Oryza sativa Japonica Group: one gene and its partner. The protein of the gene in region 1 interacts with the protein of each later gene in a pairwise test. Links are inferred from orthologs where the notes say so. Each region holds a gene or a part of one and is shown on either strand. Other genes may lie near its edges. The genes, in order: dNA replication licensing factor MCM5 and mini-chromosome maintenance complex-binding protein.

The links.
Region 2: the proteins of dNA replication licensing factor MCM5 (region 1) and mini-chromosome maintenance complex-binding protein interact in binary tests that used the Arabidopsis thaliana proteins (3 or more experiments, as listed by UniProt). The link is inferred for Oryza sativa Japonica Group from reciprocal best matches to the Arabidopsis thaliana genes MCM5 and ETG1.

What each region holds. Positions count from the first base shown.
Region 1 is NC_089036.1:34,427,309-34,441,796, reverse strand, and holds dNA replication licensing factor MCM5, read left to right. Parts: upstream 1-5,149; 5' UTR 5,150-5,275; coding exon 5,276-5,442; intron 5,443-5,533; coding exon 5,534-5,648; intron 5,649-5,734; coding exon 5,735-5,878; intron 5,879-5,952; coding exon 5,953-6,132; intron 6,133-6,222; coding exon 6,223-6,321; intron 6,322-6,432; coding exon 6,433-6,560; intron 6,561-6,654; coding exon 6,655-6,760; intron 6,761-6,845; coding exon 6,846-6,980; intron 6,981-7,084; coding exon 7,085-7,162; intron 7,163-7,232; coding exon 7,233-7,337; intron 7,338-7,421; coding exon 7,422-7,513; intron 7,514-7,629; coding exon 7,630-7,762; intron 7,763-7,880; coding exon 7,881-7,976; intron 7,977-8,044; coding exon 8,045-8,139; intron 8,140-8,230; coding exon 8,231-8,321; intron 8,322-8,397; coding exon 8,398-8,507; intron 8,508-8,670; coding exon 8,671-8,800; intron 8,801-8,880; coding exon 8,881-8,982; intron 8,983-9,063; coding exon 9,064-9,147; 3' UTR 9,148-9,500; and 1 more. Other genes in the region: aspartate aminotransferase, chloroplastic, read right to left, coding at 1-80, 956-1,122, 1,204-1,347, 1,579-1,688, 1,793-1,901, 2,031-2,120, 2,236-2,274, 2,351-2,545 and 2 more; ATPase 8, plasma membrane-type, read right to left, coding at 9,836-9,932, 10,746-11,218, 11,426-11,491, 11,595-13,763, 13,844-13,891. UniProt on the Arabidopsis thaliana protein: Probable component of the MCM2-7 complex (MCM complex) that may function as a DNA helicase and which is essential to undergo a single round of replication initiation and elongation per cell cycle in eukaryotic cells.
Region 2 is NC_089035.1:3,429,220-3,445,256, reverse strand, and holds mini-chromosome maintenance complex-binding protein, read left to right. Parts: upstream 1-6,916; 5' UTR 6,917-6,981; coding exon 6,982-7,158; intron 7,159-7,564; coding exon 7,565-7,678; intron 7,679-7,759; coding exon 7,760-7,867; intron 7,868-7,986; coding exon 7,987-8,112; intron 8,113-8,203; coding exon 8,204-8,251; intron 8,252-8,484; coding exon 8,485-8,610; intron 8,611-8,694; coding exon 8,695-8,853; intron 8,854-8,971; coding exon 8,972-9,046; intron 9,047-9,137; coding exon 9,138-9,251; intron 9,252-9,370; coding exon 9,371-9,573; intron 9,574-9,673; coding exon 9,674-9,809; intron 9,810-9,891; coding exon 9,892-10,116; intron 10,117-10,219; coding exon 10,220-10,287; intron 10,288-10,412; coding exon 10,413-10,527; 3' UTR 10,528-10,693; downstream 10,694-16,037. Other genes in the region: uncharacterized protein, read right to left, coding at 11,307-11,456, 11,802-11,861, 11,948-12,145, 12,237-12,421, 13,039-13,126. UniProt on the Arabidopsis thaliana protein: Associated component of the MCM complex that acts as a regulator of DNA replication. Binds to the MCM complex during late S phase and may act by promoting the disassembly of the MCM complex from chromatin. Required for sister chromatid cohesion.

The DNA of each region.
Region 1 (14,488 bases):
CGTTGGCAACTATCCTAGCACCATGAATAGGGGGATTCGAATACATGGGCCGTGCCAATCGTTTCAGCTGGCTCTTCACCCTGCAAGGAAAGGAATTTCAGTTAAAAATAAGCTTTGCAGTGTCACAGTAAGAGTACTATTTTGTATTGATTCATACAAAGCAACTGTTGCAAACATTAGGATGGCATTTTTGCACATGGCATGTACTTTGCATGGAAGCTGTGTATGCCTGTATGGTATGCACGATAAGCAAGAGAGGATCAAGGAGGGAAGTTACCAACCAGGAAAATCAACTATGATGAGTTGGTTTGGTGTCTTTGTCCAAACTGGAGTTATATAGTTTAATTTTCTTACCGAGTTTGTAAAATCACACGGGCTAGATGAACTAGCGCTAGTCAAATCTGAGCTCACGTTACAAATCTTAAGTTGTCCTTGTGTGGTCCTAGGACTCTCGTGTGTGTGCAGGCTTATATAAAAAGCAAAGTAAATGCCATGTACCAGTATTCATGAGATTTTCCACACTGGATATGTTGTATACCACTGAAGTGGATCAAGAACTGTGGTTCTTATGCCACATGTTGATTTAAGAGAAAATTTGAAGTATACATCTTGTCTGTGGAGTTTTGTTTATGGTTAACATCAAATTCAGTGCTTTGCTTGTTTGGGTTGAGACCAATTATTGTTGCTGGTGGTTTCTTTTCTGGAGTAAAAACTAGTGTCTATTAATCTGTACATAACACTAATTTCCAAGAATTTACAACATTTTTTGCCTGGATGAAATTTGCTTAGAAGTCTTGTTAACCTACCATGAAAAATCAAGTTGCTTTGCACATCAATAAGAGGTTGGTCCATATTACCCACTAAACAGAATAATCTATTATTAACATTCGCTGCAATAACTGGATAGAAACGAACAATTTGACTACGAAGGCAATCATTCAGATTAAAGTATCACCTGTTTGCGACTTCAGGTGTTGAGCAGACAACATTTATTGCTCCAATTCTTTCTGCATATAAACCAAGGTTTTTGCTATAAGACTGCGCAACAAACACTTCCAGTCCCCGTTGAACAAAAAGCCTGACAGAAGATGCATCTTCATCAAGGCTTCCACTGGCAAAACCCTGCAGAGAAATATTTGCTAGTCAGTAAGATATTTGTTTTCATGCAGAGAAAAACGAAATAATAAAGTGAGAACATTTCACCTGATATGCAACATCAAAGAAAGGCATGTGTTTCTTCTCTTGAATGACATCTGCAATTTTCTCCCATTGTTCCGGAGTTGGGTCTATTCCAGTTGGGTTGTGAGCGCAACCATGCAGCAGAACAAAAGATCCATCTGGGGCAGCCTATTGGACACACAAATCAATATCACAAACCAATACTCAACACATAGAAATTAACAATAGTAAACAGAAAATTGACAATTAACAATAGTAAACAGACAAGTGACAGGTGTAAATTTCTATGATGGATACATGCCAATTTGAACGACAAAGTTATGCTAAACAATGCTCATCAAGTTTAAAATAGAAAACACAGATAGTAGTATTGAATATAAATGAGTTAGAAAACACGACCTGTATGTCAGCTATCATTCCCTCAAAATCCAAGCCAACAGTCTTGGGGTCGTAATAACGGTACTCTGACCAAGGTACCTTTGCATCATTGAAAATGTTCTTGTGATTGCCTGTAAGAATATAGATTGGAGTTCAAAGTTTGCCAATGAGACACTCTGCTATGAAAAATGAAGTTGAATGCTCAAAGATTAAGCACATTAATTCACATACATACCCCAAGTGGGAGATGATATCAGTACTTTTGCTTCAGGGAAATATCTTTGTATAAATGCTGCAGCAAGGCGCAGCGACCCGGTTCCTGAGAGAGACTGAAGAGTAGCAACCTACAGAAGGAATTATCATTAAATAATGTTTACTAAATATAAGGACATGCTTCGCTGTAGCAGCATTCCAGAAAATCTTAGTATTTACAAAATAAGTACAGCAAGAGCTGCATAGGCCACAGCACATACACGTCCTTGCTTGAGTACTGGATTATCAGCTCCAAACAATAGTTCTGCAGTTGCTTTGTTAAATGCAGCTAAGCCTTCAATTGGCAGATACTGCACCAAAAAAAACATAATTTTGTCATCAACCTTCAGAAACAGAAATACAGAAAACTCCAGAAATAATTCCTTATAATCCAGCTACTTGAATTTGAAGGAAAATACACCATACCTCCTTGTTTTCTCCTTTCTCCAACATAAGAGTTTCAGCCTACCACGTGTAAGAATAGTGTGTCACAACAAGAACTGAGTTATATTAAGGAAATGATAGGTATTATTAGACTTACCTTCTTGACCACATTGAGGACATAAGGCTGTAACTCTTCTGTTCTATAGGCACCAACACCAAGGTTGAGCTTCAGATCATTTTGATCTGCCTTAAATGCTTCTGAAACCCCGAGAATTGGGTCTGGAGGGGCCATCGGCACTCCTTCAAAACGAGAGACATCTACTGCAAGGGCCATCATGACACGTCCAAAATTCTGCAACAGAATAGCAATGAAAGGATGTTAATCCAAAGCACAACCATATGCTGAAGCTTGACATGGAATAAATCTCGATACAGTCAATTTTATATTTCTCAAGAGTTGAGAGTTCCTAACAAACATAAAATATCAGAATTCCGTTACAGGATCAAAACACCATGCCTTTCCAATGAAGGCCATCGCCAAATTTTATTAGCAGCTTGATAATTAGTCATGCTTCAGCAGCTGCGTGTTCTCAAGTCTCAACCGATTTCTATATATCATTTCGATTTTATTTTCTACATCAAAGAGCTTTTAGGTGTCAACATATGACAGTATGGATTCAAAACCTTAATTAAGAGCCACCCATCCCTGATTAGAAGAGCTCCAGGAGCATTAAATTAGCAGAGATATCATACCCAAAAAGCAGATAAACTCCTGAATCGTGAATTACTATTATTGTCGTAAAAGAGATCACAGTGCCAACTGACAGGTAGTCATTCATAGTGAAACCAAACAAACCATAATTTCTAATCGAGGGAGGAAGCAATCAGTATCACTATTAAATCACAGATAAGATAGACGATAGAACCCATGTCCATCCAAAACAAACCATCAACTAAACAAGCTAGAGGCAGAAATCATAATCCAAACAGGCGACCACCTTCCTCGTGATCCCCAGGCGGCATCCAGTCCTCGCCTCGCTCCTCCCTCCTCGCAACACCTGCGAGCACCAACGAACCGCGGCATGAGTTAATTAAAAAAAAAATCCAAATCCAAATCAAGGAAACCAAACACAGAAGATGAGTAAGACGAGTGTCCCGTGCCTTGGAGCGCGCGGCCACGGCGGAAGCCGCCGGTGAGGAGGAGACGGCGAAGGGGGCGGAAGCCATCTCCGGTGCAGCCGTGGAGAGGGATCAGGGGGGGGCGTTGCTGGTGCAGTGCGCAGTGGAGTGTGGAGATCGATCGAGGAGATGGAGGGATCAAGCGGAGGAGGAGGAGGAGGAGAGCGGGTGGATGGTGATGGCCTTGGAGTCTCCGTCACAACTGCGGCTGCAGAGGATGGAGTGGAGTTGGGTTGGACGGGTTTCGCGTGACGCCTTGCGGCCGCTCAGATTCCTGGGAAAATTCAGAATCGGTGGGATGTGGGGGCTTGTTGGTTTTTTTACCAGAACAAAAAAAACTTTACACCCATCACGTGGTTTAATAAAAAATCAATTACATGTGTAAATTACAAGATAATTTTTTAAACCTAATAATTGTACCATGATTTAATAATATGGTGCTATAGTAAACATTCACTAATGATGGATTAGTTAGACTTAATAAATTTATCTCGCAGTTTCCATGCGGAATCTATAATTTGGTTTGTTATTAGACAACGTTTTAGTACTTCGAATGTGTGTTCGTATATTCGATGTGACACCCCAAAATAAAAAATTTTGCCATCTAAACCAGCCCTTACGCACGTTATATAAAAATTGGCTAATATCAACCGACTCTTTTTTTTTACAAACCAAGATCTAATGTTTTCACGAAAACCATTTGGTTTTGAGGATGGCAGCCTCCCTCGCAGATGCGACCGGTGGCCTTCTTCCCCTTCTCCCCTCTCCTTCTCTAGATGCAGCGGGGTGGCCGTCGTTGTCGTTGATCTTGGCACCGAAGCCGGTGGCATGCGTCGTCTGAGCAAGCGGTGAGACAGCTTCGAGATTGCCCTCAACATCAGAGTTGCCATCTTGCTTCTCTCCTGTGCTTGGTGGCAGCGACGACTGTGGTGGAGGTGGTGTCGTCGACGGCATATTTAGACTTGGAGGAGCTCGTTGGCCTCCCTGCCTTCTCCCTCTCCATGCAGTTGAGGTGATGTTGGCAACGGCGAATTTGGACTTGCCACTCTTCATTGGAGGAGCCTCCTCGCCGCCTCCATATCCGTGTGGTGGATGTAGTGTTGGGCGACGATGGATTTGAATTTTGCCCCCTCACCGGCCTCTTTGCTTCCTCTCTCTCCGTGCACACTCACTGGGCTCTCCGTCCCCTTGGCAGGCCTCCGCACTAACTCCGGATAGCTTTGGCTCGTCGGCGAAGAGAGGAGATAGAGGTGGAGGAAGTGGGTTAGTGGGTCCCACTATTTTTTATCTTTTTTGTTTGACTGATATATGGCTCCGCATATTATGTTTTATTTTTTTTCAAGTCATATCTTTTTATTTTTTTTTCGGGATCAAATTATCATATAAGCGTCACGTCAATATCACGTGAGACAAAAACCTAGTTAAAGGAGCAACGTAGGCATCACATCAATCAAAACTACGGACAATACCGTCAAGGGATCTTATTTTCGCTGGTTTTATAAGTTATATGATATACTGTGTGTGGTTTTACGGTTCAACGACGGTTTTATAACTCCGCGACAAAAAAATGAGAGACCCCAACTATACTTTTTACTCTAAAAATCGGCAAATCGCCATGCTTTTGGGCCAAAATGGCACATTCTACTCCTTTAGCACCCTGCTATGAGAGCCCAGGCCCACAAAAACCGGCCTGCCTAGCTGCCTCTCCGGTCTCCTACCCTACCCTACCTCCCCAGTTTCCCGCCAAATCTCCCCCAGTTTCCCGCCAAATCTCCTCCTCTATTACCCTCTTCCCGCCACTTCTCCGGCGTCTTCCCCCCTTTCCCCGCCGCCCGCGCACCCACGCGTCTCTCTCCCTCTCTCTCCGCCGCCGCCGCCGCCGCAGCCAGCCAGCCATCCAGCCATGTCGGGTTGGGACGAGGGCGCCGTCTTCTACAGCGACCAGGCGCAGTTCCCGCGCGGCGGCCCCGGCGGCGACCCCTCCGCCGACCTCACCCGCCACTCCGCCCTCCGCAAGTTCAAGGAGTTCCTCCGCGGCTTCACCGGCCCAACCGGCGACTTCCCCTACCGGTGCGCCCCCCCTCCCTCCCAGATCTGGTGCCTCGTCGGATGGTCGAATTCGCTCTGACCAATCCAGTGTGTTTTTGTTTGATGGTTGCAGCGAGAGCCTGGTGCACAACCGCGACCATGTCACCGTCGCCATCGAGGACCTCGACGCCTTCGACGCCGAGCTGTCCGACAAGATCCGGAAGTCTCCCGCTGATTACCTACCGCTGGTGTGTGCTGGTTCTTTCTGAATTTTTGTTGGCTCTGGGTTCTGTTGATGTCAATTTTTTGTGTTAAGATTTAGGGTTTTGTGTAGTTTGAGACGGCTGCGTCCGAGGTCCTCGCGAGCCTTCGGTCCAAGGTCGCTGGAGAGACCGGCGAGATGGAGGAGCCCGCCACCGGCGACGTGCAGATCTTCTTGTCCTCAAAGGAGAACTGCCTGTCCATGAGGTCTATTGGGGTCAGTTCTGAAACGATTTTGTTAGTAGCCTTGTGAAGAATTTCAAATTGACACAACTGTATTCCAAATTCCAGGCGGATTACATGTCCAAGCTGGTGAAGATTGCCGGGATCACAATCGCCGCGTCGAGGGTGAAAGCTAAGGCCACTCATGTCACGCTGCTCTGCAAGAACTGCAGAAGTGTGAAAACGGTGCCGTGTAGGCCTGGCCTTGGTGGGGCTATTGTCCCACGATCGTGCGACCATGTTCCTCAGGTCTAACTCCGGCTAAACATAATTGGGTTATTGTCTTGTTTGTGTTTTAATTCTGATGTATATGAGTGAGTTTTCTTTACCATTTTTCAGCCTGGAGAAGAGCCTTGCCCCTTGGACCCCTGGATTGCAGTTCCAGATAAGAGCAAGTATGTGGATCTCCAGACCCTCAAATTGCAGGAAAATCCTGAGGTTTGTTACTGCATTATATGTCCTCGCTGCGATGCTATGGTTTTCTAGGTTTATTGGTTATATGTCCTTAGGATTTAGCAATCACCAAGCTGTATATTACTTGGTTAACAGGATGTTCCAACTGGTGAGCTCCCGAGGAATATGCTGCTGTCCGTAGACAGGCATCTTGTTCAGACCATTGTTCCTGGAACTAGATTAACTGTAATTGGTATCTACAGTGTCTACCAAGCATCTGCAAAGTATGTTGGATCTAAAACATCTGCTCAGTTTGTTTCCATTTTGTTGAGCTAGACTACTTGCATAGCTGATGACGCTCAAATATTCATTTTGCAGCCAAAAGGGTGCTGTTGGAGTCAAACAGCCTTACATTAGAGTTGTGGGGTTGGAGCAGTCCCGAGATGCCAACTCGAATGGTCCCTCAAATTTTACACTTGATGAGGTAGATTGCTTTGCCAAAATTCCAAGTTTCTTTTTTAAGAGTGTTACAGCATATTTACAATGTTAATTTTCTTGTTGGTTTGTAGGAAATGGAATTCAAAGAATTTGCACAGAGGCCAGATGCATATGTCAAGATTTGCTCAATGATTGGCCCTTCAATTTATGGCCATTCTGATGTCAAGAAAGCTATTGCATGCTTGCTGTTTGGTGGCTCAAAGAAGGTATATTTTTGATCTTATCAGTGGCTAATATGTGAAAATACAAAGTTGTGTTGGATCCAGTGGCTAGTTGGAATGAGCTGTAACTAAACTTTCTTCTATGGCAGAGGCTACCGGATGGTGTCCGTTTGAGAGGGGACATTCATGTCTTGCTGCTGGGTGATCCATCAACAGCAAAATCACAGGCAAGTGTTTTTTCGCTATTAGAAATGAATTATCTCTAGTCCAGTGACATGAAACTGTACATTCCAACAGTTCCTCAAGTTTGTGGAGAAGACAGCGCCGATTGCTGTCTATACATCTGGGAAAGGTTCATCAGCAGCTGGTCTCACAGCGTCAGTAATTCGGGACGGTAGCTCTGTAAGCTTGTCTTCCCTGCAAGGATTATTGTGTTTACTCAAAGTTCTGTTTCCTAGAACTAAAAGACTTATTTTCCCTGTACAGCGAGAGTTTTATTTGGAAGGAGGGGCCATGGTTTTGGCTGATGGTGGAGTTGTTTGTATTGATGAGTTTGACAAAATGAGGCCTGAGGACCGGTAAGCATTGATCTATAGTCTTCTTTCTAGAAACTAAAATAAGCATTGCACATGTAATTTTTCCTTACTCTTCAAAGTTGAAACCATATTGAGTTACCTTTATGCTGTGATTCCAGAGTTGCAATTCACGAAGCAATGGAACAGCAGACCATCTCGATTGCCAAAGCTGGCATTACAACAGTACTCAATTCAAGGACCTCGGTACTAGCAGCTGCCAATCCAATTGCAGGGCGCTACGATGATCTTAAGGTCAGTCAAAGTTTTTATTATTGACTTGTACTATTTTCATATTTTGAAAATGTATTAACAGTTCTAGCCTTATATGCAAGGCAATCAGTTTGACACATTTTCTATTGCTACTCCTCAGACTGCACAAGATAACATTGATCTGCAGACAACCATCCTTTCTAGATTTGATCTAATCTTTATTGTTAAAGATGTCAGAATGTATGATCAAGACAAGGTATGACGCATTATTCTTTGTCCAGCTCATTGATGTGCTTCAGAGACTAAATAAACTTCCAATTGCAGCGAATTGCAAGCCACATCATTAAGGTGCATGCCAGTGGTGCTGCTGCTTCATCCAAGAATACAGATGCTAGTGAAGGAGAGAATTGGCTAAAAAGGTGTGGTTGGCCTTCTATGTTCTGATATACATACTACACAGTTTTGATATGATGTTCTTGGATTGTAAATGCATAATCCTCACATGTGTAGGTACATTGAGTATTGCCGTGTTACTTGTAAACCACGACTCTCAGAAAAGGCAGCAGAGATGCTTCAGAACAAATATGTGGAGATTAGACAGGCACGTGCTAAAGATTTTTCACTTAGTCTAACTGTTATTAAGACTGTTCTACTTATTTATTTTTTTCATTGTGCAGAAAATGAGACAACAAGCTCATGAAACAGGGAGGGCTGCAGCTATACCCATCACTGTGCGGCAGCTTGAAGCCATTATACGTTTGAGTGAATCTCTTGCAAAGATGAGATTGTGAGAATATAGCATTACTATACATTTGACATTTCTTTTTGCGAGTAGCTCAACTAGCAGTATATTTATATCTTACATTTTTCACATATTGGCTTTTATTTCCAGTGGGTCATAACTTACATGTTTTATAATGTTCCTAATTGGCACTTTGAATAATTATCAGGACAAGTGTGGCTACACCAGAGCATGTTGAAGAGGCATTTAGGCTGTTCAATGTCTCCACTGTTGATGCCGCAAGATCTGGAATCAATGAGCATTTGAACCTATCACCAGATATTGCAAATGAGATCAAGGTTAATCTTCCCATCCAAAAGTGAACTGCCAACTTGTCAACTTTGTTTTCTGAATTTTGTTGCCCATTTTGTTCCAACAGCAAGCTGAGGCACAAATAAAGAGAAGGATGGGAATTGGAAGCCACATATCCGAGCGACGCCTGATCGATGAACTAAATAGGATGGGGATGAATGAATCCATTGTGAGGAACCTGTCATACTATTTGCTATTTAATTAATTGATTTAGTATCATTTTTCTTATGCTACCATTCGGCTGCTTCAGGTGCGAAGAGCCCTTCTGATCATGCACCAAAGGGATGAAGTGGAGTACAAGAGAGAGCGCCATGTCATTGTCCGGAAGGCTTGAGGTGAACTGTGGAGTATTTATAAATCGAGGACAACTTCTATTCAGACTGTATAAGGCTATGAGTTCACTGAAACTGTAATCTCTGGGAGAAGACAAGGACATGTTTGAGTTTCGGTTGATCACTGACATGACCATTGTAATCTGCAAGAGTAGAAGAAATGCACTCCGTCCTTGATGAAACTGTAGTTAAACTACAGTATTAAAGATGTAACTGTAGTGAAACCATGTAACCAGGGTTCTGAAATGGCTAATGTATTAAACTACAGTATTAATTCATGGATATAAATGGCTAATATTCTGCAGTGCCCAGACAAGAATTTAAAGGAGCAGAATTCAGCTGAGTAATCAGGGCATGTTTTTGCTGGGTCAAAACTGATGATGATTGACTAAACAGTAGTATACAGACTGAGTTGAGGCAAAGTTGATAGACTGCAAATCTGCAATGGGAACAATAACATTGCCAAAAAAACCGGCTTAAAGCCAAAATCTTACAAATAACTTGACTATACTCAAAAGTGCACCACCTGTTGTATCGGGAACTATTCCCTGTTAACAAAATACAAAGAAGGGAAGAAACATCTATGTCAAAACACAAGTCGAAACCCCCATCTCCAAATAACTTGCAGATGGGGAGGAGTAAAACACAGGTATGAACAACAACAACAACACATCGATGGCATGCTGTATGTTACACGGTGTAGCTCTGTTGGATTGTGTCGATGTCGAGCCCCTTGAGCTTCACCACCGACTCTACGTGCCCCTTGAGCGTGTGCAACTCCCTCAGTCTGTCCATGGAGATGAGAAATCAAGCAGTGTGCTAGCTAGAAAGTTGAACATTGGTTGGTTGCAGTACAGAGAATGTACTACATCGGTCCCGTAATATAGAAGCGTAGTACCGGACAAGACATTCTACTAGTAGTAATCTAGATAATGTCTTATCTATGTACTACCTCCGTATTTCAATGTATAATGCTGTTAATTTTTTAAACAACGTTTGTCCATTCGTCTTATTCAAATTTTCTGTGCAAATATAAAAATATTTATGTCATGCCTTAAAGATTATTTGATGATAAATCAAGTCACAATAAAATAAATGATAATTACATAAATATTTTAAATAAGACAAATGATCAAACGTTGATAAAAAAGTTAAGGGAGTCATAGGGAGTACTGTATTATTATAGGGAGCGTATCCTATGCACACAGGCCCTCGCGTGTACGCACCGTGTACACCAACTAAAAATTATCACAAAAAATTTTAGAAAAATTCATACATGTACTTTCAATAGTATTACATCTACGTGCAAAGTCGCATCTTCAAATTTATTCTACATAGAGAATAACAAAAAAGATAAAATTCTAACAAAATTGCAACCTTAAAACTGTCAGATTCTTTGTTTTTTTTGTTACGGCTAAAATATAATGAATTTGACGTTAAGATTTTAATCTTAGGTGTAATACAATTGAAAGTATGTGTATGATTTTTTCTAGATTTTTTGGTGACATTTTTTAGTTGGTGTGCACGTGTGTACACGTGAGGGCCTGTGTGCATAGGATATGTTGCCATTATTATATCATGGGATAGAGCAAGTTTTTACCTGGCGACCTCGGCTCGCTTTGCGGCCTGCTCGGCGATCTCGGAGAGCTCGCGGTAGCCGGTCTTGTCGTTGAAGAGGTCGGAGCTGGTGGACGACTGGTTGAGCCCGTGCAGCGTCCTCTGCGCCGTCGCCCACTGCGCCTCCCGCTCCCCCTTCCCGTAGTCGTTCTTGTTCACGAACGCCGTCTTGTTGTTGATGTTGTTCCACGCCCGCCCGCTCAGCGCGTACCGGATGATGAACTTGAGCACGTCCAGCGGGAAGTAGGTCACCACGCTGAACGCCCAGATCGCCCCTCCCCACCCCCACCCGATCCCCTGCATCTTGCAGAACTCCCACTCCGCGTACACCGCGATGCACGTCGCCACCAGCTGCGCCGCCAGGAACGCGATCACCAGCAGCGCCCCTGGCCTCTCCACGAACGACCAGCTCCGCGACCTCGTCACGAAGATGAGCGCCTGGCTGATTATGCTCACCTTTGTTTCTCGAACACGTAAAAAGATTGCACGTCAATATATCAGAAGAAAAGAATATATGTTACTCAACGCACTAAACCAGACCGACTTATATCAAAAGAGGAGGGAAACAAAAAAACCAAGGGAAAAAAAAAAGACTCGGATACTACGACTCCAAACAGCGGGAAGGGGGCAGAGCCCACCACTCTCCCAGGTGATTATGCTCACCTGCAGGTACAGCGCCGCCATCATCTCCTTCTCGTTCGTCTTGATCGACCTCACCCCGAACGTCTCCTGCGTTTTTTTTTCCAGTCATTTTATAATAGGAGGATACAAAGGAATCAAAGAGGCTCTGCTCTAAGAGAACGTATAAAATGTACTATGTGTTTTGTAATACTGTGAAGAAGTCGGTGTCGTGCGCGAGGTAGAAGAAGAGGGCGGTGATGAGCGCCATGTACGTGCCGAGCACGATGCCCGTGGCGAAGATCTCCTTGAGCTTCCACGAGTCCGGGGTCGGGGACGGCTTGACACGGTCCTTGGAGATTGTCATGATGGTGCCGTCGTTGAGGATGGCGATGATGAGCACCATGAATGGGGCGAAGTCGAACTTCCAGAGGAGGGCGACGAGCATGAAGCCGAGGACGATGCGGATGGTGATGGAGACGGCGTAGATGGTGTAGTTCTTCATCCGCTGGAAGATGGCGCGGGAGGTGAGCACGGCGCTGACGATGACGCTGAGCCCCGGCTCCGTGAGCACGATGTCCGACGCGCTCCGGGCGGCGTCCGTGGCGTCGTCGACGGCGATGCCGATGTCGGCCTTCTTCAGCGCCGGCGCGTCGTTCACGCCGTCGCCGGTCATGCCGCAGATGTGCTTCCGGTCCTGGAGGCGCTTCACGATCTCGTACTTGTGCTCCGGGAACACGCCGGCGAAGCCGTCGGCCTTCTCGATCAGCTCGTCGATGGGGAGGCCGCTCATCTCGCTGCTCTTGTCGCCCAGCAGCGTCGTCGACGGGTACATGTTGGTGCCCATCCCGAGCCGCCGCGCCGTCTCCTTCCCGATGGCGAGCTGGTCGCCGGTGATCATCTTCACGTTCACGCCGAGGTGCAGCGCGCGGCGGATGGTCTCCGCGCTGTCGTGCCTCGGCGGGTCGAACAGCGGCAGGAGGCCGACGAACTGCCATGGCTCGCCCTCGCTCTCCTTGCTCTTCTCCGGCACCTTCTGGTACGACACGCCCAGCGACCGGAGGCCGCGGTCCGCGTACTGGTCGATCAGCGTGTGCACCTTCTTCTCGGCGTCCTTGCTCATCTTGCACAGCTCGATGATCTGCTCCGGCGCGCCCTTGCTGATCCTGTGCCATTCGCCATTGCCGTCGATGTAGGTGATGGCCGTGCGCTTCTCGACGGGGTTGAACGGGAGGAAGTGGACCTCCTTGATGCCGGCGCGGGCCTCCTTGGGGTCGGCGAGCATGCCCACGATGCATGTGTCAATGGCGTCCTGGTTCTCGACGCGGGACGCCCTCGCCGCGTACAGGAGCACCGAGTCCTTGTCCAGCCCCCGCCCGTACACCTCGATCAGCGTCTTGTCGACGGTGAGCTTGTTGAGCGTCAGCGTCCCGGTCTTGTCGCTGCAGAGCACGTCCATGCCGGCCATCTCCTCGATGGCGGTCATCCGCTTGGTGATGGCGCCCTGCTGCGACAGCCGGTGGGAGCCGATGGCCATGGTGACGGACAGCACGGTGGGCATGGCGATGGGGATGCCGCCGATGAGCAGGACGAGCAGGTTGTCGATGCCGTCGCGGTACGCGCGGTGCTGGATCGGGTACATAACGATGATCTCGATTATCATGCCGACGCCGATGGAGATGATGCAGAAGTTGCCGATGGCCGTGAGCACGAGCTGGAAGTGGCCGATGTTGTTGGTGCTGTCCACCAGGTGCGCCGCCTTGCCGAAGAAGGTGTGCACGCCGGTGGCGATGACGACGGCCTCGATCTCGCCCTGCTTGACGGTGGACCCGGAGAAGACGCCCTGCCCGGCGTGCTTGTTGACGGGCATCGACTCGCCGGTGAGCGCCGCCTGGTCGACCTTGAGCGGGTCGCCCTCGAGCAGCCGCGCGTCGGCGGGGATGATGTCGCCGAGCTTGATGCTGATGATGTCGCCGGGAACGAGGATGGACGCGTCCTGCTCCTGCCATTTCCCGTCCCTGAGCACCTTGGTCTTGGGCGCGAGGCCGGCCATGAGCGCCGCGGCGGCGTTCCCGGCATTGTTCTCCTCGATGAAACTGATGGTGGAGTTGATGACGAGGAGGACGACGATGCCGACGAAGTCCTGCCAGTCGGGCGGCCTCCCGCCGCCGTTGGCGAGGACGATGGCCATGATGGCGGCGGCCTCCATGACCCAGGAGAGGGGATTCCACATGAAACCCAAGAACTTGAGCAGCTTGCTCTCCGTCTTCTCCTCCAGCTTGTTTGGCCCGAAGATGTTGAGCCTGTTCTGTCCCTCCGCTGCCGACAGCCCCTGCTTGCTGCATTTCAGGTGCTGGAACACCTCCTCCACCGGGATCGTCTCCTGCAAACAAACAAACAAAACAAGAAAAAAAACTAAGAACGAACGCACAAAAGAATTGCACGACTGTATATATTACGTACGAGGTCGACGGTCTCATTGCGGACGTCCTCGAGGGAGATGGAGGCCATGGGGGGGAGGGGAGGACGGGTTTATTAGTTTGGTGGTGAGTGATGAGGTGGGGTGGGGTGGGGGGGGAGGGGGAGGGCTTCGCCCTCAGCCGCAGCCGCAGCCGCGCGGACGGCGCGCGGTGGTGGTGGAGGGAAGGAGTACGAGGCTTTGCCTCGGTGGGGGTGGGGGTCAGTCCGAGCGCGCGCGCGCGGCTGGGATGGAAGGACGGAGATGGCCGTGGCACCGCCTCGCCGCCTCTTATAAGCAGCGGGGACTCGGCAACGTTGCGCGCTCCACTAGCGGCTTTGGATTTGCATGCGTGTCTCCCCGGGCGCGACGCGCGGCTGGCCTCCCGTTCGCCGCGCCTGCCGTCCGTCCGCACCCACCGGATAGGCTTGATTGCTGGCCAATGGCCATGCATTGCAGCACGTTTGGTGGTTTTCGTTGCGGCCGGACGGCACGGACAAGTTCGTCCCGAGTCGTCTACCGTGTCAGATCAACGTCTTTTGGTTTTCAAACCTTTTTTTTTTGTTGCGGCCGGACGACGGGACGACACGGAGAAATTCGTTCCGGAGTCGTCTACGTGTCAGACCAACGTCTTCGGTTTTCCAAACTCG
Region 2 (16,037 bases), on another chromosome or scaffold:
AATCAAATGATAGGAAAAGAATCAATAAAACGAATGATCAAACATATTTAGAAAAATCAATAGCGTCAAATATTTAGAGACGGATGGAGTAGCATATAGAGGTGCAATCGCCTTTGACTACTTGGCGCTACCGCAAGAGCTGGGCGCGTGGAGCTACAACGCGAAGAAACGATAGAAGCAGCACCATCAACGATAAATTCAACGATTACTTAAAAAATATAAAAAATAAAATTACAGCCCTATATAACTAAAATTACATATGTAAATTAAGTTGATATGATATGTAAGTGGATTGTAATTTTGATAAAAAAGATGTGTAAGTAAATATGTATTTGTTATTTTTTAAATATAAAATTACAGTCCTATATAACTAAAATTACATTTGCAAATTCAGTCGATATGACATATAAGTGTACTGTAATTTTGATAAAAATGTTGTGTAAATAAATATGTATTTGTTTTTTTGTCCGTTGGATGTAAATCTAAAGTTGGAAAAAATTTGGATGATTTTTTTTTCTAGAAATCACCCAATAAATGGATAGTCAGATCCATAAATAAACATCAAAATTATCCCTAATCATATAAGTAGCAAAGTACTGATATAGCCTTATAAATCAACGGCTTAGACTATTCTACTAATAGTAGAGAACACCGAAGCAACGACTGGCTGGCCGAGTTGATCTTCTGTTAATCCAGCTAGCAACGTACGAATCCGAGTTGGCGAGTTATCGTGTATAAGAATGTGCGAGGGTATGCGGTAGAATCCTCCGTCCATACACCGATCGATACACCCTCTTACGTATAGCAGACTAGCAGTAAACCCAATCAAACTGCTGTACTTGCTAGTTGCTACTCCACAATGACCCGTTACAAGCCATTGGTGTTGCCGTTGATGCTGATCCTCTTACACACCCAGCTCATTATTGTCCCTTCTTCATCAGCAGCTACGTACGCCAACCACACCGGAGCCCTGCCGCCGGCGGTTGTTCCATGCTTGCCGGACCAGGCATCGGCGCTGCTCCGGTTGAAACGTTCTTTCTCCATCACCAAAAACTCCAGTTCCACCTTTGGGTCATGGAAGGCCGGCACAGACTGTTGCCATTGGGAGGGCATCCACTGCAGGAATGGGGATGGGCGTGTGACGTCTCTGGACCTGGGAGGGCGTAGATTGGAGAGCGGCGGTCTTGATCCTGCGATCTTCCATCTAACCTCCCTCAACCTCGCTTGCAACAGCTTCAATGGATCCTAACTCCCGCAGACAGGGTTTGAGCGGCTCACCATGCTCACCTATCTCAACCTCTCCAGCTCCGATTTCGTGGGCCAGGTACCTACCGCTAGCATCAGTCGCCTAACAAATCTAGTATCTCTCGACCTATCTACTCGATTTGAAGTAGAAGAATTCACACAAGGTCATTCTGTGTTGTCCTTTGATTCAGTTGAATCTAGCGTGCTCAAAGAGCCAAACTTTGAAACTTTAATCGCAAATCATAAAAAATTGAGGGAGCTCTACCTCGGCGCTGTGGACTTGTCCGACAACGGGATGACATGGTGCGATGCTCTATCCTCGTCCACTCCTAACCTTCGGGTTCTTAGCTTACCAAACTGTGGGCTCTCTGGTCCTATTTGTGGATCCTTTTCTGCCATGCACTCGCTTGCTGTTATTGACCTACGGTTTAATGATTTGTCTGGTCCCATTCCAAACTTCGCCACCTTCTCCTCTTTGCGTGTTCTACAACTGGGACACAATTTTCTTCAAGGACAGGTATCTCCATTAATCTTCCAACACAAGAAATTAGTAACAGTTGATCTTTACAATAATCTAGAACTATCTGATTCGTTACCAAATTTCTCAGTTGCTAGTAATTTGGAAAATATATTTGTCACTGAGACTAGTTTCTACGGTGAAATACCAAGTTCCATTGGAAATCTCAAATATTTGAAGAACCTTGGCGTCGGTGCAAGTCAGTTTTCAGGGGAGCTGCCCTCATCAATCGGGTGGCTTAAATCATTGAATTCGTTGGAGATTTCTGGAACAACAATAGTAGGAACCATACCATCATGGATCACAAACCTTACCTCTTTAACAATCCTTCAATTCTCTAGGTGTGGTCTAACTGGATCTATCCCTTCTTTTTTAGGTAAGTTAACGAAATTGAGAAAATTAGTGTTGTATGAATGCAACTTTTCAGGAAAACTACCACAAAATATCTCAAACTTCACCAATCTGAGCACACTCTTCCTTAATTCAAACAATCTTGTCGGTACAATGAAACTTGCATCATTATGGGGACTACAACACCTCCGTTACTTGGATATATCTGATAATAATCTTGTGGTGGTGGATGGAAAAGTCGATTCTTCATCAACACACATCCCTAAACTACAAATATTAGCTTTATCGGGTTGCAACATCACTAAATTCCCTGATTTCTTGAGGAGTCAAGATGAACTCCTTTGGCTCGACCTTTCAAAAAACCAAATCCATGGGGCTATACCATCGTGGGCATGGGAGTCTTGGAATGATTCTGGCGTTGCTAGTTTGATTTTAGCACATAATAAATTTACTAGTGTTGGATCTAACCCTTTTATTCCTTTACAAATTGATTGGCTTGATCTTAGCAACAACATGTTTGAGGGGACTATACCTATACCTCAAGGTTCTGCAAGATTGCTAGATTACTCAAACAACATGTTCTCATCGATTCCTTTTAATTTCACTGCCCATCTTAGTCATGTCACACTTTTCAATGCCCCTGGAAACAACTTCTCCGGAGAAATCCCACCATCTTTCTGTACTGCAACTGAATTACAATACCTTGATCTCTCTAACAACAACTTTAGTGGCTCAATACCATCTTGTTTGATCGAGAACGTTAATGGAATACAAATATTAAATCTAAATGCAAATCAACTCGATGGGGAGATCCCAGATACTATAAAGGAAGGCTGCTCATTTCATGCACTATATTTTAGTGGCAATAGGATTGAAGGACAGCTACCCAGATCCCTACTTGCTTGTCAAAATTTGGAGATCCTTGATGCTGGGAACAATCAAATAAATGACATTTTCCCATGCTGGATGAGTAAACTTCGTAGACTCCAAGTGCTTGTACTGAAATCCAATAAGCTATTTGGACATGTCGTTCAATCTCTCACCGATGAAGAAAGCACATGTGCATTTCCAAATGCAATAATTATTGACATATCCTCAAATAACTTCTCTGGTCCGTTGCCCAAAGACAAGTGGTTTAAGAAGTTGGAGTCGATGCTACATATAGACACAAATACATCATTGGTCATGGATCATGCTGTGCCAAGTGTAGGACTAGTATATAGATATAAAGCCTCACTCACATACAAAGGTCATGACACCACACTTGCTCAAATACTAAGAACCCTTGTATTCATTGATTTCTCCAATAATGCATTCAATGGTAGCATCCCAGAAATTGTTGGGGAACTTGTTTTAACTCATGGGATAAATATGTCACATAACTTCCTCACTGGGCCAATTCCATCTCAACTTGGTGGGCTGAAGCAGCTGGAAGCTTTGGATCTATCTTCAAATCAGCTTTCAGGAGTCATTCCACAAGAATTAGCATCCTTAGACTTCCTCGAAATGCTAAACCTATCCTACAACAAGCTTAAGGGAAAAATACCTGAATCACTTCATTTCTTGACATTCACCAACAGCTCATTTCTGGGGAATAATGATTTGTGTGGTCCTCCGCTATCTAAAGGTTGCATCAACATGACAATTCTGAATGTGATCCCTTCCAAGAAGAAATCCGTAGATATTGTGTTGTTCCTCTTTTCTGGATTGGGATTCGGCCTTGGGTTGGCCATTGCTGTTGTAGTATCATGGGGAATACCCATTAGAAAACAGGCTACAGTAAGACAGAGAGCCCTCTGTATCATGTATTGAAATAAACTTTTTTCTGTATCAAGGTCACTTGCAGTGCATTATTGTAATCAGGGCCATGTCAGTGTTGTCGCAAGATAATATTTGAATCACTGTAAGTATGGGTGATAATGGTGTTATATTTATTTACTTTAGAGTTACACAAGCCAGTAGGATGCACACATCATATACTGATATACAGAGTTTACATTACATACTAGTGATGTTCTGAATCAACGAGTTGGCATGTGTGATTTATAGGTAACACTTGCTTACTAGTGAAAACAATAGAATTTTGCTTTGGCAGTGAGGTTCGGAGCACACCTGAGATGTTGTTGAGTTATTCCATCGATTGCTTCTGTTATTTCTTCAGTAAGAAAATCTGAGCCTACAAAAATTCACCCATAACAGTATTGTTAGGTATGTTCAGTAGGAAAACTAGCAGCAATTAACACCTACTAGTCGCCAACTCAGTAGGATGACTTGAGAAAAAAAAGGCATCTGGAGGCATGTATTAGCAATTTCTTTATGCGAAATGTATTAGCAATTTGAGATGAACAATCTTAGCATCCGAAGTAAATAGAAAGCAAGTTGCTCCTCCATAGCCTACTTTACCCCAGAGACACGCAACGGAGAGGATTCGGAGGGGTTCAGACTCTGGAGGGCGTAGATCCGGCAACGCTGCGTTATGGGAGGAGGAGAGGTTGGTTTATGGAGTGTACAGACCTCGGAGGTGGGCGACGCCATGGGAGGGAGAGAAGGTCCATGACGAGGAAGACGACCTTGCCGTTGACAGGTCAGAGATCTCACCTGCTCCTGTTGAGAAGAGCAATGGCGCGGGTTCCTGGCCTTCTATCACATACACAACGCCAACCGGGAGAGCGACTCCGGCCGCCGCTCGCCGGAGCGCCGCGCCGCCGCCGCTCTTGGACGGCTCAACCATCGGCCCGCGCTCTCTAGCAATATTATGAAATTAATTGAAGGGCCTATGTGTAAAATATACTTCACTCAGTCACGTTCCACAACTTGATCTGAACCACACGATTAGATCTAACGGTCAACGCGTGCGCGAGATTTGGAGGAAAAAGTCCACTTTGACTCCCTTAAATGTACAACGAATCTGATTCGTACCCCTCAACCAAAAAACCGGTTAGAACGACTCCCCCAATTACTAAAACCGGTACAAATTGACTCTCTCGGTTGTTTTGGAGGGCGGTTTTGCTGACATGGCGCTGACGTGGCAGTGTTGACTTGGTCTTCGTCCCATGTGGCGCTGATGTAAGATTAGATTTAAAAATATATATATGTAGGACCCATTTATTATTCACACACAAAAATTATAATAGGATCCACTGACATGTGGGGTCCCGATATCATTCTCTTTCCAACCTTTCTTCCTCCCCCTCTATCTCCCTTATCTCTCTCTTTCTCTTCCTGTCGGCGAGCCTTTCCAACCTTTCTTCCTCCCCCTCTCTCTCCCTTATCTCTCTCTTTCTCTTCCCGTCGGCGAGCAGCGCGGAGAGCTTGCCGAGGCAACGGATGGCGGAGCGGAGGGCGGCAAGGGAGTGCGTGAAGCCGTGGGCGGCGGTGGGTGGAGAAGGCCGGCGCGAAGGCAGGGCAGAGCGGCGCTGCGGCGGCATCGAGAGCTGCCAGTCACCGCGGTCGCTGTTGTCGCGTATCCTGCAGCGAGGCGACGGCGGCGGTGGGAAGTTCGGATGCCGGGTGCGGCTGCCGCGGCGGTACAGCTCCACCTCCGCCGCCGGCGCTGGAGTTGCCGGAGAGAAGGAGATGATGTCGAACGCGTTCAGGCTCGACCGCCGCCGCGAGCTCCCGCCCCGCCCGAATCTCCCTTCCAGCAACGACGGCGTCGCCATCGTCCCGGTGCACTCCACCGCGGACATCGCCGTCGCCGACACCCTCTGGAAGGCCACTACCGCGGTCGGGGCTCCCCTCGCGTGAGTTGCTCAGGCTCGTCACCAGCGACGACGACGCTGACATGGACATGTGCTGCCGCTGCTGCGCCGCCATGGCAGCATGGCGCCATCCACTCACCGGAGTAGTAATTAGCTAGCTAGCTAGCTAGGCAACATGACGACGACACTAGCTTAATTAGCTTGTATTTAGTTGGTTAATTTAGTGTTGTTGGTTGCTTGGCGACGTCATTAGCTAAGCTAGTGATGTAGTAGTAGCAGCTAGTGGGAGTATTAGTTATCACACAAGGCGAGGAAACCGACGCCCAGAAGAGGGGGGGGGGCGCAGGGGCCGCGGCCATGCCGCCCAGATCCGTCGCCAATCCACCCGGCCGCTGCCGCCACTGATGCGTCCGAATGGGGAAGAGAAAAGGGGGAGAGAAAAGAGAGGAGGGAGGGAGGAGGAAGAAGAAGGGAAGGAGAAAGGATGTCGGTGGGCCCCACATGTCAGTGGGTCCCACATGTCGGTGGGTCCCACGATATATTTTATATGTGAATGATAGATGGGTCCCACAGATATTTTTTAATTCTAATGCCACGTAGGCGCCACGCGGAATGAAGACCGGATTAGTATCGCCACGTCAGCGCCACGTGGAATGAAGACCGGGTTGGTATCGCCACATCAGCGCCACGTCAGCAAAACCGTCCTACAAAACCACCGAGGGAGTCAATTTGTACCGGTTTTAGTAATTGGGGGAGTCGTTCTAACCGGTTTTCTGGTTGAGGGGTACAAATTAGATTCGTTTTACATTTAAGGGAGTCAAAGTGGACTTTTTCCAGATTTGGATCGCTAACCAATAAGCAGGCCTCATATGGGCCGGAGGCATCTCGGCCCGGCAGCAGCGCGCACCCGCAGACGGGCCGCACTCCCGTGCCGAATGCTAGGACGGCCCATTAGGCCCAATAGACGCACCAAGGTCCAAGTACCAGGAGAGGCGCGCATTGGCGGGAAGAGGGGGAGAAAACGGCGGGAAGCGCCGCCGCCAGTGGCGCGAAAACCCCACCCGCTATAACTCCTCTCCCTCCTCACCTCACCACTTCTCCCGCCATTGCTCCGCTCCCCAATCTCCCCAACGAGAGAGAGAGAGAGCGAGGAGAGGGAGAGGGAGGATGGTGGGGCCGCAGTACGACCTCGTCGGGAACCCCCTGGGGGCGGTGCGCTCCACCTTCGAGAGGGCGGCGGCGGAGTCCGGTGGGCACGAGCCGGTGGCGGCGTTCCGGGGGAAAGACTGGGGCGCCACCGAGGTGTTCCGCTCCTTTCTCTTCGAGCAAGGCGGGCTTGACAAGGTAAGAAGTCTGATCCCCCCCCGTGTTGATGGTTGCCGCAGCTGTCGATTTCTGAAAATGATGTTATTTGGTAGATCGCTGAAACCCTAATATCGTCAAAGTTAGTGATCTTTGAATGTCTATAATGAATATGAGACGGGGAGATTAAAGGTTTTCTTAGGGTAAATTTGGAATCATCAGTAGATGTGGTTAGGAAGTACTATGCTCTCAGATCTAAGTTGGGTGAAAGATAACTGCTTTTTGCTGTTCTTGCAAACATTTCAATTCAGATACTTAGAATGTCACATATGTTTATGTTGAGCTTGTCCCAAAAAAAAGAGAGAAAGAGGATATTTTGTATTGTGGGTGTAAATGAATCTTAGGAAGTTCAGGGAATGACGGAATGTGGGAATATTTTCCTTTCCAGGTTCCGGTGTTGGATGAATCAAATCTTGGATTGATCAAGCCGAATACCCTTGTTCGGTTCCGGGGGATGGTTCAGGACATGCTCGGGAACGAGTTCTATGTTGGTGCTTTCAAGGTATTGGAATTTAGTACATAAGTTAATGTAAAGCTGCATTTTAGTGCTTGTTATGCTTATTTTGAACCATTATTTGTGTAGGATGGCTCCACTTGGAGGACAAACAAATTCTCCGATTCCTCGCCGTTCTCAATGCCACACCCTTGTGATTCACATCTCTGGGAGCGCCATCTTTTCCACTGTGTGCCTGTATGTTGCCGCTTCCAAGAGCACCTGCTGCTCATTTGCTATTAATCCTAGTCTTACTCATTGCTGATAAGCAGCTTATGTTGGAATTCAACCTGGACAATGCCATTGGTTTATTTCAGGTGCCTGGACAAAATTCTTGGACACGCGAGTCGTCCCCTGGCCCTGACTTGCGCAGAATAGCAAGCTGCTTCACATCTGAACAAAGGGAGAAAAGGAAGAGGGGTGCAGATAATGACGCCATGGATGTAAGCTTTTGCTAAGTTTGTTGCAATGGTTTCTTTTGACACTTTGCTGCCTAACAAGTAGTATTGTCGTCTAATGAGTTGACTGATGCAGGTTTCAGAAAGTGGTAGTGGAGAGACTTCTTCATCCAGCAAGAAGACGGTAAGAAGGAAGATTGATTTTTCTTTCCTAGTAGTCTCCTAACATTTACACAGTCTCGCAACTGCCTTGCTTGGTTGTAGATTAATTCTGCATGCTAATAAAGTAGGATAACTTAAATGTCTTAGTAGATTTATGGCATATATGCTTCTCCAAATTGCTTGGTTTCATGCTAAATCTAATCCATACAGTTAGCTGACTGGGAATCTGATTTAAACTGCCTTACTTTTCCTCAGAAGGATGATGGTGTCAAGATCTCAAATAGTTCAGTAGAAATGTCAATGAATGAAGAACATCATGTCCCAGAGATGAATGGGGGAGATCATCATATTCCTGGAAGCTCCTTTTCCTGCCTAGTGAAGGTAGAGCTCCTAAGCTTTCTGCATGAAATGCATTCTATTCAATCTTTTTTTTCTATGGTTTACGGATTGAACTATTCTTTGCAGGTGTATGATATGCCTGAAAGTCAGGTGAAACTGAACGATGTTTCTGAGTTCATAGGTGTATATACATTTGACCCTGAACTTGCTGCTCCTAACGATAATTCGGATGATATAATGTTTGACCTTATGGAAGATGTAACCGCTCAGCTGCCTCCCAGTAAGGTACATGCATCAAAAGTACATACTACATAGTGATCAATTTCATATCTAACAATGAAAAGAAAGTGTATTCATATTTGTATTTTTTTCTGACTTCTAATGCTTGTAAATATTTGTACAGGTTCCCCGTCTTCACTGCTTGGTATGGAGAAACTTATCTGCTCATGATTTTCTACCAAGGCCTCCTGCGGTTGAGGTACATAGCACTGAATCTTGAATGCAGAAGTTGGTTTAACAGTTTTAGCGTTGATTTAAAATAACTAATCCCAATTTTTTTTATCATGCAGCCATCACCAATCCTGCTAAGGGGAATTCGGCAATCTTTGCTCTCACATCTTACTCTGGTATTAGGGAAAGATGAACTGGCAGCTCAATGTTTACTGTTGCATCTTCTATCCAGAGTACGTCATATCACTAACACAGCTGATCTATACTACATCAAGTTGTTTTCTTTGCATTGTAACTGCTAAAAACAGTTCATATTAGTTTACTAAGTTATTGGTTCTCAATCTCCATGCAGCTTCGTAATAAGGTGGATGTGGTTACCGTTGGTAGGCTCTCCTTGAATTTCACTGGCTTTAACAGAGAGAGTGTTTCTATATTTGGAAACCAGCTAAATAATTTGTTCCAGAGGCTACTACCATATTCACAAGTTATTCCTCTGTCAATTGAGTATCTCAACACAGCCACACTTCAGCCTAGAAAGGACAACCAATCAGGAAGGTACATATTGTTTGTTTGTCTTATGAAGAATTTGTTACTCCTGATGTTTTCATCATTCAACAATCACTTTTAACATAACCCCACCTAAATTTTGCTGCAGATTGGTTACAGGAGTTTTACAGTTACCTCAGGGTACTCACCTGACCTTTGATGAGACTCTCTTGCAGTCTGGATCATTGACATCCAAAGGTGTCGAGAATACTATGCTGCTTAAGAACTTGATGGAGTCACAGAAGGTAATAAGCCTCATGACTTCATGAGGCTACAAATTATCTTTGCCGACCAATTTATCTATAACATCTTTAAACATTTTTGCAGGTTGAGTATGATTTTGAGTTCTACAAGTTGGAAATGGCAACTGATGTGCAGCTACTAATTCTCTCCGAGGGAAAATCAAATATCCTACCTTCTGACTTGATAGTACCTTTCCGCCCATCATCTGTTCCTGCGGTAAATGCAAGCTCCGAGGAACTTGAAAGTTGGAGATGGTATTTGGCCACAGTTAGGTCTCTTCCTCAGTCAACTGAAACTGATACATACCAGGTGATTATCCCTTGCTCAACTCTATCAAGAAATAAACTGATATGTTTGTCAGGAACATGAACAGACTTAATTAAATTGCATAATGTTTGCGCCTTAATTGTAGATGATTCAAGATGAAATGGTCAATGCCATGCGTGATGATAGGAGCTTGGGTTGTTCTGAACTTAGCAGGTGTGTGCCGCTGATGCCTGTCAGTGTGGGCAATCTGGCATCCTACACCATCTCCAGTTACTTTTACATGAGGATTATGAAATGAAACCTTTTGCTAAACTAATTCTGCTTATGTGGATCTGCAGATGGCTAACGATGGCACAGATAATGGCTGCAAGCTTTGGTGAGAAGAGTCTCTCCATGGAGCACTGGCAGATGGTGAAGGAGCTGGAGAGGCTCAGGAAGGAGAGGCTACAATGAGATGAGATCACAGTAAAATGTGCTTGTAAAATCCACTTGTGGCCGTGGCCCAATGTTATGTGTATACCACTAGGGTCTAAAATCTAAATCAAGATGTGGATCTGCAACATCTTCTGTGATCCTATGGAAGTATCAATGCCATTTGATAAGTTATCTGACCTGAAAAGCATCTCTTGCAATACCTGTGAAAAAAAAAATTGAACTTGCACCTACAGGCTTGCCATCCGATTTGCCATTGGTTTCAGCAAATTCTACAGCCTGAAGTGCTGTTCTAGTATTGGATGGACACCCAAATATTTTTATCAACCAAGTGAACCTTCCATGCCATGTTTCAATTATCTTTGAGCCAAAATTTTAACATACAATTTTCCGTGTATCACTTGCAATATTTACTCTTTTTTTCATATATTTGACCTACCATTGGACCAGCCAGAGCAACAGAGAAACACTGAATAATAATAGTATGAATGTTTGTCAAATGATAATGATACAATGCGATAATTGCACATGTAACTTCCAAATTCAATGACATCAGACAGTTTGTAACTTTGTATGCTCGATCATCGATGAACGGTGGTACAGCTGCTCCATGCTTCAAACTTGAGAGCAGTGTAGGTTCAAAATATACAACACAAATCTCTACATACAACATTTTTTTTTGCCTCACTCAATACTGTTTCAGCAATAGAGTAAAGAATTCCCACAGGCATCTGATCTTCAATTCATTACCGGTTCAATCTCTTGGGAAATAAGTAGCAATTTCTTGATTTGCATTGTTTTCACGATGCGGCAGACAGAAGCATGGTTTCTGCAGATGCTTGTGTCCCCGTTTTGCATGCATGAATTGTAGAGCAGACGTCTGTCGTCTCAAGAAACTTCTGAGATTTCACCAGAATCAAAGGGGTATATTCAAGGACCATCTTCTTGCACTGCAAAAATTACAAATAGGACTGCCATGAGAAGAACAGAACTAGAAATGGGCCTTGCAAATGGTTAAAATGGCAGTATTTCATCAGGAAAACCATTCAGCTGATACAAAGTTGCAGGTAACTAAGCTAATTACAGATAAATTTCTAGGTGCTGGGCTTGATCAGCGACATCTTAATGTCTCAAATCGGTATATGCAAGCACATTCGAGAAAAGCATTATAGCATTTGAAATGCTTTGCTTACAGGATGTTAAGTGATTTTCTGTATAAACAACCATGAAAAATGTGTTTGATTCTTTAGTAGAGGCTGATTTATTTTGTATTTCCATAAATGTGACTAATTTACCTGCTGTACATAATTATCTGCCTTGCTGCATGCTTTGAGAAATATCTCGACTATCTCCAGCTGCAAAATTACGAATTCGATTAAGTATGACCCCAGCAATACAGAATTGGTTGTGACCATTGAAAATCTGAAATGATGGCAGTTACCTGCATGTCAGGATCCTTTAGCATGATAAGAACTTCAACAAGAACATGATGGCATATGCCGCATGTATCTCCTCGAGATGGTAGGCGAAGCATCGTTCCCTTTCTGCAGAGATGCACTGATTCACAGAACTTTTCAGGTGTTACCATCGAAACCTCCAAGAAGAAAAGGGGAATGTAGTAGTCAACCAGAGTGATGCACTGTAACAGGGTAAACCATTGGCATACAAAAATTAGTCTGACGAAATTAGCATGTTCTGATTCCAAGGCGGGCATTGAAATTTATTCAGACCTGCTGTTTTAGAGGTCCAACGTTTGCGCATGCATGGTGGAGGATGCTAAGAATCTCAGTTTGGGTTTCATTTTGTTGGAGGTAGAACAGTGCTTCCGTTGAGTACTGCTCGCATAGTTGACACAGCTTTCCATTGGCTGAAGTTAACCCTGTCTTCTTGTTTTCAAGGGGAAAGCTTTTATGAGCTGAAATACATGACAAATTGACCGTAGAGTCAAAAACTAATAAGTTGAATTGTAGAACGAAATCATTCTTATGCTGAAGATATAACCACTGTGTGATATCTGACCTACAATTTTATTACAGGTGAAGATAGAGTTTTCAAGTGAAAACAAAATTGTAGAACGGAATCATTCTTATGCTGAAGATATATTGACCACTGTGTGATATCTGAATTACAATTTTATTACAGGTGAAGATAAGAGTTTTCAAAATGAAAACAAAAATAGATAAAATAAATGTAACTCATGATGTCTGATATGCAGCAGATGTGTCAAGCAAGACTGGTCAGAAATGCAATTCTCATAACATTCGTCATCAGCAAACACACAGATACCAATTTTACTATTATGTGCTTGTGCAATCTTAGACCAACGCATATAACGTGATGTGGAATAATTAATGTAGATCAACACATAAATGTATTCCTTTATATTTTAGAACTGTAGAGAGTGTTATATTGCTTGCCATTGCGGCGCTTGATCTACTTAGAATTATCATCAGAAACACCAATTGATATGAAAATAAGAATGGAGAAAATATTAGTAACATTATTCATTCTCATAATGAATTCATGACTTACCCAATACATTAAATGAATCTCTGCTCTCCGCGACTGCAACTGAAAATGCTAATACCAGCACAAAAGCAAAGCTCCTTATGGAACACATTTTGCCTGCTTGCAGAATTGCAGATTAGAGAAACAGAAGCTGGAAAGTTAAAACTCCAAAGTATCCAACTGAAAGTTGAAGCTGTGTGCATCAGACGACCAGAATGCATCTCAGAGGTCAATCATGCAGAAGTTTTCCCCAAAATGGTTGACTAGACAGATTTACCCTCCGGTTGCTTAACTAAAATTTCTCCATATGGCCAAAAGAAAGCCTCAAATAGATCCCTTCCTCCTCTCTCACATTCCAAATCTAGTGTTAGATCTTACAGGAACGCTTCAGAATCCCAATACAGTGGATTTCAGCCCATCTCAAGACCAATTTTTGCACAAAAAAAATCAACAAACTCGGTAACGCTGGATTAGATTTCTAGATTAGATCTCACACTTCCACAAACAATGCATACACGAGTTGCGCACCAAATCAGCCAGATTCAGCTTCCCCACCGAAACAAACGCTAGAAAGATCCAAAATTTACTTCCTTTTCATCACTACAGACGCTCGAATTCGTAAAGCATAAAACTTTCTCTTCCGCTACTAACCTACCTTGGTTCGTGGGAGATGAAATCAACAGCTCATGATACTCAAATCGAACCCCCCATGGTTACGGAATCGAATCGGGCAGAGAAAATCAAGAAACAGCGAGTGGTTGCTAAGAATAAGCTAATATGGATCAAGGAATCAAGCATGGGCTCACCTTGTTGCTTCTTCGCTCTCTGTCTGCTTTGTTCTTGGAACGGGGTGGAGAAGTCAGGAGAGCAAGGGAATCTTCTTGAACTTATTGATTTTTTTAAAAAATCTTAATCATTTAAGCTTCTTTAATACTACAAGATTTGTAGGAGTAGATGATTAGATGTAGATGAATGCAAGATTAGATTAATGGCTTGTGTTGCATGAGCTATGGACAGGACAGGAGGAACAAAAAGATTCTTCTCCTCCCTTCCAAGCTAAGCTGAACAACGACAGGAGTGGATGAGAAAGTAGATTTTTTTTTTTCAAAAAGAAAGGAGATAGTTTTTTTTTGTCCCCCAAAATTTTAGACAGAATTATGTTTGCCTCTTCCTAAGTTAGTTTTTGGTTTTTATTCGATTTTGGAGTTATGATGAAGAGATAAGAAAAAGAAAAATCAGATAAAAGATTCACACAACAGGTTGTTGTAAACACTTCAGTTCCTTCCTAATAGAAGTGCAAAGTCACTGTCGTGGCTAGATTTGTGATTATTCAATTTCGACCAAAAGATGCTGGTTTGTATGATTTTGTTCCGCGGGTTTATACGTGCCAAAAAGGAGTACTCCTATTCCTTTGGTACAGCATACTTTTTTCTCAAAAAATAAATAGAAATATGTTAAAATTATTTAAGGGCAAAAAGGTCTACCCATTGATCTTTCGACATATTTGGAGCTTTAAATTTTACAGAATTTCAACCAATATATACAACCCGTTTCGAATGAAATAAAAAAAGAGACAAACATATCCAAAATTGTAAATCTAGAAAAAAATATAGTTGTAAAAATTTAATATCGGTGCACTGTAAATGTATAACTGAGTGTAACTACATGTAACTGAGTATAAGTGCTAACACTCTGTACAAGTGTTGTGTAACTGATTGTAATTGCAAGTTAGATCTATGCGTACACGAATCTTTGATGCAAGATTCTATGAATGAAAAGAAAATCTAAAAATAAGACTCTAAACATCTATCGCAAGTGAAATAGAAAAAAAAAAGAATACAAGGAGATATAGTCCAAGCAAAATAAATTGCATGGATAAATGGCACAAGAGTAGAATTACTGTGTAGTTAAAGGGAAAAAATATTAACAAAAGGATAAATGACACGAAGACTGGAATTCATGTCTAGTTAAAGGAAAAAAAAGATAATAAAGTGGGATAAATATGGCACAACAGCACAAGACCCTACTACGGGAAGGGGAAAAAAATGCGTCGACAGCAGGGTTCGAACCTGCGCGGGCGAAGCCCAACAGATTTCAAGTCTGTCTCCTTAACCACTCGGACATATCGACTCTTTGCATGAATGGCACAATTGAGCTATTTAATACTATAAATGTAAGCCTTGATGGGCCGAAAGGAATGTCAGGGCACGCAAGCAAGCGGGCCTGTAAAAAGGCCAAGACCTGACAGGCTGACACGGGCTCGGCCCATCAAGTTTGGTAGTATCCAATTACTGCGCCTCACCGATCACCGCAGACACGGCGACACCAACCGGCAAACCAGTCTCCCCCATTCCTGCTTGCTGCACCTGCACTTAGCGTTGGTTGTTGCCATGACAAGACGAGAGAAACACGAGGTGACAGCAGTAGCAACAAGGAGTATAACTTCTGGGAATAAATCTGAACTTGCATTTGTCCAAAAAAGTCAAGTTCTGATGATAATATGAAAGGTATGCATATGTTCAGATCATCTTTAAAAGTTTTTTTTCAAGACAAAAGAAATACTAGCAGCAGAGCTAGCTAATATAAGGGATTTTGAAGTGACGGGAGCAGCCGGCCGGTGGTCGAGCAGTATTGATCGATGAACCGCCCAAGTCCCAATTGCCGACCATGGCGAATTGGTGATGCATAGGTAAGGTAACCAATCAACCGCCCAAACTGCAACTGCTATCTTGCTCCCTCTTCCCAATGCGATAGCAGCTAGCTGCGAATTCATTTCATGGCAATGGCCGCAAGAACTCGCCGAGAAGTTCAGAACACTTGCACTGATGGTATGATGTAAGTTTGTTAGGATTGGGATATTAGCTAGTATCGTTTTGCTCAAAGTAATATCGTATCGTAGGATCGGGATACTATGAGATTTTCTTTTTTTTAAGTTTAATTAATATTTATATTGATTATATATAGCCATTCTATATAAAAAAATATAGTAATGATATATGTCATGCAAATAGAGACATTTATCA